Linked DNA regions of Macaca fascicularis. The protein of the gene in region 1 purifies or fractionates together with the protein of each later gene. This does not show direct contact. Links are inferred from orthologs where the notes say so. Each region holds a gene or a part of one and is shown in the gene's direction. Other genes may lie near its edges. The genes, in order: RABGGTA, CHML and CHM.

Region 1 (4,353 bases):
ACACATGTACATGTGGAACCCTCACTAGCCACCATGAACCTCATGAAGGTTCCACCAGAAAACCTTCCTTACAGTAGGCACAGGGAAAAAATCACAGTCTTTGAAAGTACATATGTAGGTCTATCAAATCAGACGGGCATTTTAGAGAACTTCCTCGAGGTGCCAATTGAGTTAAATTTTTTTTCTTTGTTCTGTGGAGTTCAAAAAGTTAAATCTTAAACAGGATTTACTGCAGCAAAGGAGGAGTGTAGAGAAAGGAGAGTCAAGGAGAGGGAACAGGCTAACACATTTAGGAAACTTCAAGTATTTCTGTAGGCTGTCATGAAGGGTTTTTGGCAGGGTCAGGCAGGACATACAGCCAGAGAGTAGGCAGAGCCCAAATGCCAGTAGGTCTGATGTGCTAAGCTGAGAGATTACAATTCTATCCTGAAAAAGAGCCACTCAGCACTTTCAGGCAGAGATAGGACATCAAATCTGCATTTTAGAAAAATTGATTCAGCAGCACAGAGGATGGACTGATAACAAGGGATGAGGTGGAGAACATTGAAAAGACTTTCAACAATCTGGATAAGAAATTCGGAGTTTGAACTTCTAGTGGCAGTGGGAATAGAGTATTTAAGCGAGTTTAAGAAGTGAGGAGGAAATAGTGCCACTCACTACAATAGAAAACGTAAAGGCCAATGTTTAGAGAGGATGGATGAGAGAAAATTTATACCTTTTGGCTTTTGGAGTTTGAGGTGTCTCTGGGACACCAGGTGATATCCAATAGGTGTTTGAATATGTATGTGATGTATATTATTTATTGTTATTTAAGCTTGCAAGACATCTGGGTTGGAGATATAAATTTGGGTGTCATCAATTTACAGGTAGTAATTAAAACAATGAGTGTGAATGAACTCACCCAGGGAAAGTGTAATGCCAGATTTGTGGGCCAAAACAGCTCTGAGGAGCTCCAACTCGAAGCAGTTGAACGCTTAAACATTCTCCCAGGAACAGTGTGTGAAGTGAAAAAGCAGTGAGGAAAGGACCCTTTGGAGATCACCAACATTTAGGGGTGGAGGTGAACAGATGAGAAGAGAGAGGCAGAGATGCAGGAGGAGAAGCCAGGATGGGGGTGTCAAGTATAAAGAAGTGGGTCAAATGCTTCAGAGGTTAGAGAAAATGACAGGCAACTCCACCTGTTAGATTTGACATATAGAAGGGTGTCGGTGTGGCCAGGGTGAGGTCAGTGGAGTAGTGAAGGTGCGGGTTTCTGGCTGTTGGAGAAACCTCTTCCACTAACTACACTACATTTTGAGTTGCCAACTGGCATGGTCCTCCCCACTATTTCACACGCACGGTACAGTCGCGCGTGCGCACTCGTACACACTAGGTGGCTAACAGGTACGAGGCGTTTCCAGACAGCGAGCGCATAGCCCCCGCGCACGCGCCTCCGAGCCGGCCTCCTCCGTCGCAAGTCCCTCCCCAAGCCTGCAGAGGGCGCTGCGTTTCGGTGAGCCAGGACGTGGCGCCGCTCTAGCCAGCGCCTGGGCTCTGTGGCGGGCGCCGCAGCTCCGCATCCCCCGCGCCTCCTCCCAGCGCAGGTGGGTCCGCCCGCGGGGGGCGGGGGTGCCCGGGAGCCGTGGGACGGGCGGGGAGCGGCAACCTTTGGTGCGCAGAGTGGTCCCTAACGCCCAGGTGCCCCGGCTCGGGCTCTGGCCCGGGCGAATCGGGCTGTAGGAAGGGCCATACGGATGGAAGTTCTAGTACGGGTGTTCGCCTCTTGCTGAATGTGCAAAGCCTGTCCCAGGACCTCTTTACACCCTAGGGGTCTCTGCCCAGGCACGCTTGCTGCTTCCGGGAAACCGCTGTGGGCGGTGCTAGTAGGGGGCGGGGCTACGTGATTGACACCTCTCTCCTCAGACTTCGAGGGCTACCACTGGACCCTTCCCCTGTCTTGAACCCTGAGCCGGCACCATGGTGAGAACCCTGAGCCCAGCCCTTCATCTCCGCACGCCCGCGCCCTCACCCGCAGTGGTCGTGCACTTGGTTGCCCCGTATGAACCTAGGGCTTCACAGTGTGGGGCTTTTGCAGGTCGGCTCCTGCAAGGCAACCTGCACTCTTCCAACCCGTTCATCCTTATAGCACGGACGCCTGAAGGTGAAGACGTCAGAAGAGCAGGCGGAGGCCAAAAGGCTAGAACGAGAGCAGAAGCTGAAGCTATACCAGTCAGCCACCCAGGCCGTCTTCCAGAAGGTGGGGCCCTCAGAGGTAGCCCCGACCCCAAGTAGCTCTCTTAGTATAGTATGGAGGCCAAGAGCTGGTCCCTAAAGTCAGACTGCCTAGATCCAGTTCTGGGTTCTCTCACTTATAACTGTATGACTTTGGACAAGTTGCTGGATCTCTTTGGGCCTCAGTTTGCACATCTGTAAAATGGGACTAATAATTGCACCTACTGCATAAGGCCGTTGTGAAGATTAAATGAGAGAATACCTGTAAGGCCATAAAGCATGGTTCATAGTATCTGTTGTATAATGTGGGATTCACAGAATATTGGGTGGTTTTGAGTTTACGTTATTTAGTCCTGTGGTGGGAAAGTGATATGATCTCTGACCCTGCCACCTATCTTCTCAGCGCCAGGCTGGTGAGCTGGATGAGTCAGTGCTGGAACTGACAAGTCAGATTCTGGGAGCCAACCCTGATTTTGCCACCCTCTGGAACTGCCGACGAGAGGTGCTGCAGCAGCTGGAGACTCAGAAGTGCGTAGGGATTCAGGATCTCAGAAGACTGCCCTGGCCCTGCGCCTACACTGCGTGGGTCCAGGGGTGGAGGAGGAATGGGGCAGCCAGTGGCATAGATGGAGGACAGTAGGGGGCTGGGTGCAGAAAGTGAGGGATGAGCTGAGGTTGAGTGTAGGAGAGCCCTGACCCCCCTTCCCTTCGGGGTACAGGTCTCCTGAAGAGTTGGCTGCTCTGGTGAAGGCAGAACTGGGCTTCCTGGAGAGCTGCTTGCGGGTGAACCCCAAGTCTTATGGCACCTGGCACCACCGATGCTGGCTGCTAGGCCGCCTGCCTGAACCCAACTGGGCCCGAGAGCTGGAGCTCTGTGCCCGCTTCCTGGAGGTGGATGAGCGGAACTGTACGTGCCTGCAGATTCTGTCCCCACAGCCCTCACCTGCCCACATTCTGGTACTGGGGCCTCAGTAAGGCCCAGAATGGGGAGGGATATCCAGGATGGGTCCACTGAGCTGGTGCTGAAAGGGATGTTGGAGTCAAATGCCTCCTCCGTGGAGTGCACTGAAGTGTTTCTAGGAGTTCTCTGAGGGGACTCTAGGGGTCCCAGCCAGGTAGCTCCTCTTGCCTTGCCTCTAAGATATGCTGTCACCTCTCCCCTCCAGTTCACTGCTGGGACTATCGGCGGTTTGTGGCCACACAGGCAGCCGTGCCCCCTGCAGAAGAGCTAGCCTTCACTGACAGCCTCATCACCCGAAACTTCTCCAACTACTCGTCCTGGCATTACCGCTCCTGTCTCTTGCCCCAGCTGCACCCCCAGCCGGATTCTGGACCACAGGGGCGCCTCCCTGAGGATGTGCTGCTCAAAGGTAAGCAGGGTGAGGGGTCCTCCTTCCTACAGAAGGGAGGACTCTGCAGTGCCACCCTTCCAGTCCCCATGCCTGACCCTGTTCCTGAACCTGTCTCAGGTTTATTGAGCACCTACTTCATGCCTGGCTCCAGGGGTGCCTAAGAATCAGTCCCTGACTGCAGGGAGCTCAAGTGTCTGATGGGGAAGATAAAACTGACATACATAGCCCCTGTGCAAGGACAGCATATAAGTGACACTGGGGGCTGGAAGTACTCCAAGGAGAGGGTAGGGTGTTGGAGTGGCCAGGAGCCCACCAGTGTCCTGACCACAGCACCATGCCTCCCGGAAACCTACAGAGCTGGAGTTGGTGCAGAATGCCTTCTTCACTGACCCCAATGACCAGAGTGCCTGGTTTTATCACCGTTGGCTCCTAGGCCGAGGTAAGCATTGAGGAAAGGGGCTGGGTGTTTAGGGCTTAGTAGGAATGGGAGAGGGTTTAAGGAAATCTGACACTGTGTCTCCCTGCAGCTGACCCCCAGGATGCACTGCGCTGCCTGCATGTGAGCCGGGACGAGGCCTGTCTGACCATCTCCTTCTCTCGGCCCCTCCTAGTAAGTCCTACAGCTTTTGTCAAGAGCACTGTGGGATTGTGGGCCTGGTGCTGATGGGGCTGAAGTCTGTCTTTGTGCTTTGTGCCAGGTGGGCTCCAGGACGGAGATCTTGCTGCTCATGGTTGATGATTCTCCCCTGATTGTAGAGTGGAGGACCCCAGATGGCAGGAACCGGCCCAG
Region 2 (4,250 bases), on another chromosome or scaffold:
TGAATGGCCTGTTTTACCAATATCCAGGATTATTAGTCATCTTGGCCTAGACAGGTCTAGCTTGTACTGATTTATATTTCAGTAGGTTTAACAGTAGCGAAAACCAGAGCTCAAACCAGTGCAGTGATGAATGTTACAAAGTTTAGCAGTAAGGTGTATGTAATACTTTAGCCTAAAGACTTTCCGGTGAGTATGCTCTTCAGTACCTTGGCCGTTCTGCCTCTGGCCACACGTGGCATCACACAGATGTCTTCTGCACATGGAGTGTAACCAGCATTATGCTCAAAGTTAACAGGAGAGCCTTTTTTTTTTCTTTACTTACCCTTCAAAAATAAGAACAAACAACATTAGTCTTGGCAGAGGATGTTTACATAGACCTTTTGCTTGGGATAGAGATTCAGGGTTGCAGAGACAAGCCTTATTTAGACAAGCCTAAATAAGTAGGCATTATTTATGTTAAGATATTTTAATTTGAAACCAGGAGTTTTCCTTTTTTACTTACATACTTTTTTTCCTTTTTTACTTACACTTATATACATGTGTACATTCATATACATATTTTTAATATATAGGTTTTCCTCCTCAGGCCTATTCTGTTATGAGCCTAAATATTTTTAAATGGCCAGTTGTTTTACTGAATTAATCCTTTTATTATAATCTTACTAGTAATTGAGTAGAAATAGTCTCATGTTGCTATCATGAGATCCTAAGGTGGTTGTGGCATGAAAAGGTCTTATATTCAGCTATTCGGGAATCACACACACACTGTAATGGCCACAGAAATATTTTTAATCATGGCAGTATGTACCTAATGTATAATCTGTTTCTATAAACAATGGAGCCATACGTTCCTTTTAGTCTAAGCTCACAGCTGTGTATAGATTTATTCACATGATAGTTTTCTTAAAAGCTAAAGTTAGAGAATTGTATTATGTTATTTCTTCTTTATTTTTGTGGAACATTATGTTCATTCTCTATTACTATGTTGCCTGATTCTTGGGAGGGCTGTTATATCTCTATTGTCCATTTTCAAGAAATTAGAAAATATGTGAGAAAGCATTTAAGACATGCTTTAGTGGAGGTTTATGTCCAAATAAGAAGTCATACTCCAATGGATTGTCATTGTTGCATGAAATTATTTTTCTCTTATATTGTTTACAATGTATTCTTTCTTGAATTTTCTTCTTTCAGAGAAGAGTTCCAGTCACAAATGCATATATGATGCATTTTGACATTTACTGCTAAGATGAAATACAGAAATGAAACCACACATCCATTTTAGTATTCTCAGATGTGATTAGATGTACTTGCTCATGTTTTTATGCTACTGACTTATAAGGAAAAAAATATATTTTAAAAGGGTAACTGTTAAAACAGCTAGGACCTGCAACTTCATTGCTTCTGGGATAAACTGGAACATCAGAAGGACAGATTTTATTACAGCATAATCACACCTCATTTCTTTCATCAGCAACTGTCACCAGACACTTTTACTTCCTAGAATGGCGGACAGTCTTCCCACAGAGTTCGATGTGGTTATAATAGGGACAGGTTTGCCCGAATCCATCCTTGCAGCTGCATGTTCAAGAATTGGTCAGAGAGTTCTGCATATTGATTCAAGAAGTTACTATGGAGGCAACTGGGCTAGTTTCAGCTTTTCAGGATTGCTAACCTGGTTGAAGGAGCATCAGCAAAACAATGACATTGGGGAAGAAAGTACTGTTGAATGGCAGGACCTGATCCATGAAACAGAAGAAGCCATCTCTCTTCGCAAGAAGGATGAAACTATCCAACACACAGAAGCTTTTTGTTATGCCAGTCAGGATATGGAGGACAATGTTGAAGAGGTTGGTGCTCTGCAGAAAAATCCTTCTTCAGGGGTGTCTAGTACCTTCACTGAAGTTCTGGATTCCGCAGGCTTGCCTGAAGACAGCCAGTCATCAAATTTTAATAGCGATGAAATGTCTGCCAAACACACTCAGAAAAGTGATAGAGAGATTTCACTAGAAGTAACTGATGTAGAGGAATCAGTGGAGAAGGAAAAGTATTGTGGAGATAAAACTTGTATGCACACAGTTTCAGATAAAGATGGAAATAAAGATGAAAGCAAATCTACAGTAGAAGATAATGCCAATCAACCAATTAGAAATAGGATTACTTACCTTCAAATAGTTAAAGAAGGGAGGAGGTTTAATATTGATTTGGTATCAAAACTGCTATATTCTCAAGGATTGCTAATTGATCTTTTAATCAAATCAGATGTTAGTCGTTATGTAGAATTCAAAAATGTCACTAGGATTCTTGCATTTCGGGAAGGAAAGGTAGAACAAGTGCCTTGTTCCAGAGCAGATGTCTTCAATAGCAAGGAACTCACCATGGTTGAAAAGAGGATGCTAATGAAATTTCTCACATTTTGTTTAGAGTATGAACAACATCCTGATGAATACCAAGCTTTCAGGCAGTGTTCATTTTCAGAATACTTAAAAACTAAAAAACTAACTCCCAACCTTCAACATTTTGTACTGCACTCAATTGCAATGACATCAGAATCATCTTGCACTACAATAGATGGCCTTAACGCAATTAAAAACTTCCTTCAGTGTCTCGGACGGTTTGGCAACACTCCCTTTTTATTTCCCTTGTATGGCCAAGGAGAAATTCCCCAATGTTTCTGTAGGATGTGTGCAGTTTTTGGTGGAATCTATTGTCTTCGTCATAAAGTACAATGCTTTGTAGTCGACAAAGAATCTGGACGATGTAAAGCAATTATAGATCACTTTGGTCAAAGAATAAATGCTAAATATTTTATTGTGGAAGACAGTTACCTTTCTGAGGAAACATGCTCAAATGTGCAGTATAAGCAGATCTCTAGGGCAGTACTCATTACAGATCAGTCTATACTAAAGACAGATTCAGATCAGCAGACTTCCATTCTGATAGTTCCTCCAGCAGAGCCAGGAGCTTGTGCTGTACGGGTCACTGAATTATGTTCTTCAACCATGACATGCATGAAGGACACCTATCTGGTACATTTGACATGTTCATCTTCTAAAACAGCAAGAGAAGACTTAGAATCAGTGGTGAAGAAATTATTCACTCCATATACTGAAACAGAAATAAACAAGGAAGAACTTACAAAGCCAAGACTCTTGTGGGCTCTTTATTTTAATATGAGAGATTCCTCGGGAATCAGCAGAAGCTCATATAATGGCTTGCCTTCCAATGTTTATGTCTGCTCTGGGCCTGACTGTGGCCTGGGAAATGAGCATGCCGTCAAGCAAGCTGAAACACTTTTCCAGGAGATCTTTCCAACTGAAGAATTCTGCCCTCCACCTCCAAATCCAGAAGACATTATCTTTGATGGCGATGATAAGCAGCCAGAGTCTTCTGGAACCAATAATGTAATAGTGGCCACACTAGAGTCCTCTGAGGAAGGCAAAAACCAAGAAAGCCCAGAGAAGCACCTTCAAAATTAGAAAAGAGCAATCTGGAAATGCTGTTTTGGACCTCCTTCATGGCATCAGAATATTCTCATTTAAAGGACAGTTTCCCATATGAGTAATTAGAAGTGGTTATATATGTTGAATGCTATGCAGATGTTGTCTTTAACTCTCAGACATTCAGCATTGAATATCTTTGTTAACCTATCAATGAGTGATTTATTGATTATTGAACATTTTGTTTAGAATGGGCTACATGACCCATAATCTTAAAACAGAGTTAGCTGTATTTTAGTATTGGGTATGTATGTAAGGGTTCCATATTAACAACTCAGCTTAAAGGTAATGTTGTATTTGCTAATGATCTTCAGATTTTATCTTTGTCTACAGAACAATTAGTAATACCCAAGTAATATTTTAATTACTTTCACAGCTATTATAGTTGCTGCGGCCTGTTCGAATAGTGAAACACACACAAATGGTAAATTATGTGGATCTTTTGCATATAATATAAATGTTTAGACATGGTGGTAGGAATAGCAACTAATACAAATGCCAATATGATAATAAAATTCGTTTGTCTATAATCGTTAAAAGATTAGCTTTGCATGATGCTTTATTCATTGTGAAGGTCTGAAGTTTATAATACCCACTTCACTCTTGTAACTGATGAGGCAATGACGCCACCACAGTGTTCTAATTTACAAAAAGAATTGGAGTTCAATTAGTAGTTGAAAAACTCATTTTGGGGAGGTTGATTGCAAAGAAAATTTGAAGGATAAGATTTATTCTCATTTAATACTTCAGAAA
Region 3 (3,467 bases), on another chromosome or scaffold:
TCTGTCCTCACACTGCTATAAAGATACTATCTGAGACTGTGTAATTTATAAACAAAAGAGGTTTAATTGACTGACAGTTCCTCATAGCTGGGGAGGCCTAAGGAAATGTAAAATCATGGTGGAAGGCAAAGGGGAAGCAAGGCATGTCTTACATGGTGGCAGGAGAGAGAAAGCGAAGAGGGAACTGCCAAACACTTTTAAACCATCAGATCTTGTGAGAAGTCACTATCACGAGAACAGCATGGGGAAAACTGCCCCCATAATCCATTCACCTCCCACCAGTCCCTCCGTAATACTTGTGGATTACAATTGCAAATGAGATTCGGGTGGGGACACAGAGCCAAACCATATCATTCTGCCCCTGACCCTCCCCAAGTCTCATGTCCTTTTCACATTTCAAAACCAATCATCCCTTCCCAACAGCCCTCCAAAGTCTTAAAACTCATTCCAGCATTAACTCAAAAGTCTATGTCCAAAGTCTCATCTGAGACAAGTCAAGTCCCTTCCCCCTATGAACCTGTAAAATCAAAAGCAAGTTAGTTACTTCCAAGATACAATGGAGTATAGGCATTGGGTAAATGTCCCCATTCCAAATGGGAGAAATTGGACAAAACAAGGGGGCCATAGGCCCCATGCAAGTCCAAAACCCGGCCAGGCAGTCATTAAATCTTAAAGCTCCAAAATCTCCTTTGACTCCAAGTCTCACATCCAGGCCATGCTGATACAAGGGCTAGATGCCCACAGCCTTGGGCAGTTCCAACCCTGTGGCTCTGCAGGGCATAGGCACTGTGCCTGCTTTCACAGGCTGGCATTAAGTGCCTGTGACTTTTCCAGGTGCATGGGGCAAGCTGTCAGTGGATCTACCATTCTGGGGTCTAGAGGACAGTGGCCATCTTCTTACAGCTCCACTAAACAGTTCCCTAGTGGTGACTCTTTGTGGGGGCTCCAAGCCCACATTTCCCTTCAGCACTGCCCTAGCAGAAGTTCTCCATGAGGGCTCTACCCCTGCAGCAGACTTCTGCCTGGCCATCTAGGCGTTTCCTAACATCCTCTGAAATCTCTGCAGAGGCTCCCAAACTTCAGCTCTTGTCTTTTGTGCACCCTCAGGCCCAACATCACATGGAAGCTGGCAACACTTGGGGCTTGCACCCTCTGAAGCAACAGCTCAAGCTGTACCTTTATTCCTTTTAGCCATGGCTGGAGCTGGAGCAGCTGGGATGTAGGCTATCATGTTCCAGGGCTGCACAGAGCAGTGGGGCCCACCCAGCCCACAAAACCGTTTTTCCCTCCTAGGGAAGATCTCTGACATGCCCTGGAGACATTTTCCCCATTGTCTTGTCTATTGACATTTAGCTCATCATTGCTTATGCAAATTGCTGTAGCCAGCATGAATTCCTCCCCAGAAAATGGGTTTTTATTTTCTCCCACGTGGTCAGGCTGCAAATTTTCCAAACCTTCATGCTCTGCTTCCCTTTTAAACGTAAGTTCCAATATCAGACCATCTCTTTGTGAACACACATGACTGAGTGCTTTCAGAAGCAGCCCGGTCACCTCTTGAATGCTTTGCTGCTTAGAAATTTCTTCTGCCACATATCCTAAATCATCTTTCTTAACTTCAAAGTTTCACAGATCTCTAGGGTGGGGACAAAATGCCACTAGTCTCTTCGCTAAAGCATAGCAAGAGTCACCTTTGCTCCAGTTCCCAGTAAGTTCCTCATCTCCATCTGAGGCCACCTCAGCCTGGACATCATTGTCCATATCACTATCAGCATTTTGGCCAAAACCATTCAACAAGTCTCTAGAAAGTTCCAAATTTTCCCACATTTACCTTTCTTCTTCTGAGCCCTCCAAACGATTCTAACTTCTGCCTGTTACACAATTCCAAAGTCACTTCCACATTTTCAGGTTATCTTTTAGCAGTACCCCACTCCTGGTACCAATTCTGTGTTAGTGTCTCTTACACTGCCGTAAAGATACTACCTGAGACTAGGTAATTTGTAAACAAAAAAGGTTTAATTAACTCACAAGATCACATGGCTGGGAAGGCCTCAGGAGAGTTATAATCATGTCAGAGGGTGAAGGGGAAGCAAGGCACATCTTACTTGCTGGCAGGAGAAAGAGAAAAGGGGGAACTGCTAAATACTTTTAAACCATCAGATCTTGTGAGAATTCACTATCACAAGAACAACATGGGAACAGTCACCCCCATAATCTAATCGCCCCCTAACATGTGGGGATAATAATTTGAGATGAGATTTGGGGGGGGGACTCAGAACCAAACCATATCAAGTCTCTATGAGATATCATATAAGCAATATTAAGGCAATTGTATTTCTTTCGATATGTAGAATGAATGTGTTTCAGTTCTCAACAATCTGAACACTTGATAATGAACCTGATGAGATACTACCGTCCTTGAAGTGTTGACCTGAATACATGTATAGAATTAAAGGGAGAAGTCACAGAATTCTGAAAACAGACTTATAGAAGTTCATGTATTCTGATAAAGTACTATAACCTGCTTAAGGAAAATTTTAAGGATAACACTTAATTGTTTTTAGTTAATGCCAGAAATGCACACAGATTTTAAACCGATTTCCAAAAATGATTTATCTTTTCTTCCTTGGCCAGGCTGAAACACTTTTCCAGGAAATCTGCCCCAGTGAAGATTTCTGTCCCCCTCCACCAAATCCTGAAGACATTGTCCTTGATGGAGACGGTTTACAGCCAGAGGCTTCAGAATCCAGTGCCATACCAGAGGCTAACTCAGAGACTTTCAAGGAAAGCACAAACCTTGGAAACCTAGAGGAGTCCTCTGAATAATGGATATACACCGAACTGGATACCCAACTTTGGAAATTTCTACTGGTCTCAGAGTCTACTTGATAGAAGGACTGTTTGAAAAATGTTAGAAAGCAACAGCAATTATAAGGCAAAATAGGTAATAGAAATCCAAAAGGGGATTTTCCTTATAGAGGACGTTACAAGAACACACAACACTTACAAAGCACATTGACTTGCTCATTTTGAATACCAAACTTGTGTGACTAGCAGATGAAAATTATAAATCAATTGATTCTCAGGAATGTAACTGTGGATATGAAAGTGATCCTATGCATTGTTAATAATTCCGTGGTCTTAGGACAATTTTGCTTACCACTATGGATCTTTGTTTGAAAGCCACATTTTCAGAACCAGCTCACATATTTTCTTTGGTTATTTGAATTATATTTTCTTTATGGACAAGAGCATCATAACATAATGATAAAAACATATAGAAAAACTAAAGTATCATGATCTAGATAGAAGCCTGTATTTAGAATACAGGTTTGTTTTGTTTTGTTTTGCTTTCTATGTTGAGAAGCATTGAAAATGCTAATACAAAGGTGTTTAGACATTGTTAAGAACAAGTCAGTAGTGTTTTTTAGTATCAGTAGTGATATTTGTTTGTAAATTATTTACATATT

What was found.
Region 2: the proteins of RABGGTA (region 1) and CHML purify together in Homo sapiens (co-immunoprecipitation; 3 studies listed by BioGRID and IntAct, counting the BioPlex papers as one, with this or other methods). This does not show direct contact. The link is inferred for Macaca fascicularis from reciprocal best matches to the Homo sapiens genes RABGGTA and CHML.
Region 3: the proteins of RABGGTA (region 1) and CHM purify together in Homo sapiens (co-immunoprecipitation; 4 studies listed by BioGRID and IntAct, counting the BioPlex papers as one, with this or other methods). This does not show direct contact. The link is inferred for Macaca fascicularis from reciprocal best matches to the Homo sapiens genes RABGGTA and CHM.

Annotation. Positions count from the first base shown.
Region 1 is NC_088381.1:92,086,081-92,090,433, reverse strand, and holds the start of RABGGTA (geranylgeranyl transferase type-2 subunit alpha), read left to right. Parts: upstream 1-1,528; 5' UTR 1,529-1,583; exon of another isoform or gene 1,584-1,821; 5' UTR 1,822-1,956; coding exon 1,957-1,959; intron 1,960-2,074; exon of another isoform or gene 2,075-2,125; coding exon 2,126-2,236; intron 2,237-2,614; coding exon 2,615-2,793; intron 2,794-2,930; coding exon 2,931-3,118; intron 3,119-3,377; coding exon 3,378-3,581; intron 3,582-3,918; coding exon 3,919-4,002; intron 4,003-4,090; coding exon 4,091-4,173; intron 4,174-4,261; coding exon 4,262-4,353. UniProt on the Homo sapiens protein: Catalyzes the transfer of a geranylgeranyl moiety from geranylgeranyl diphosphate to both cysteines of Rab proteins with the C-terminal sequence -XXCC, -XCXC and -CCXX, such as RAB1A, RAB3A, RAB5A and RAB7A.
Region 2 is NC_088375.1:7,536,707-7,540,956, forward strand, and holds the start of CHML (rab proteins geranylgeranyltransferase component A 2), read left to right. Parts: upstream 1-1,405; 5' UTR 1,406-1,471; coding exon of another isoform or gene 1,472-1,502; coding exon 1,503-3,476; 3' UTR 3,477-4,250. UniProt on the Homo sapiens protein: Substrate-binding subunit (component A) of the Rab geranylgeranyltransferase (GGTase) complex. Binds unprenylated Rab proteins and presents the substrate peptide to the catalytic component B.
Region 3 is NC_088395.1:92,472,289-92,475,755, reverse strand, and holds part of CHM (rab proteins geranylgeranyltransferase component A 1), read left to right. Parts: intron 1-2,631; coding exon 2,632-2,806; coding exon of another isoform or gene 2,807-2,823; 3' UTR 2,824-3,467. UniProt on the Homo sapiens protein: Substrate-binding subunit of the Rab geranylgeranyltransferase (GGTase) complex.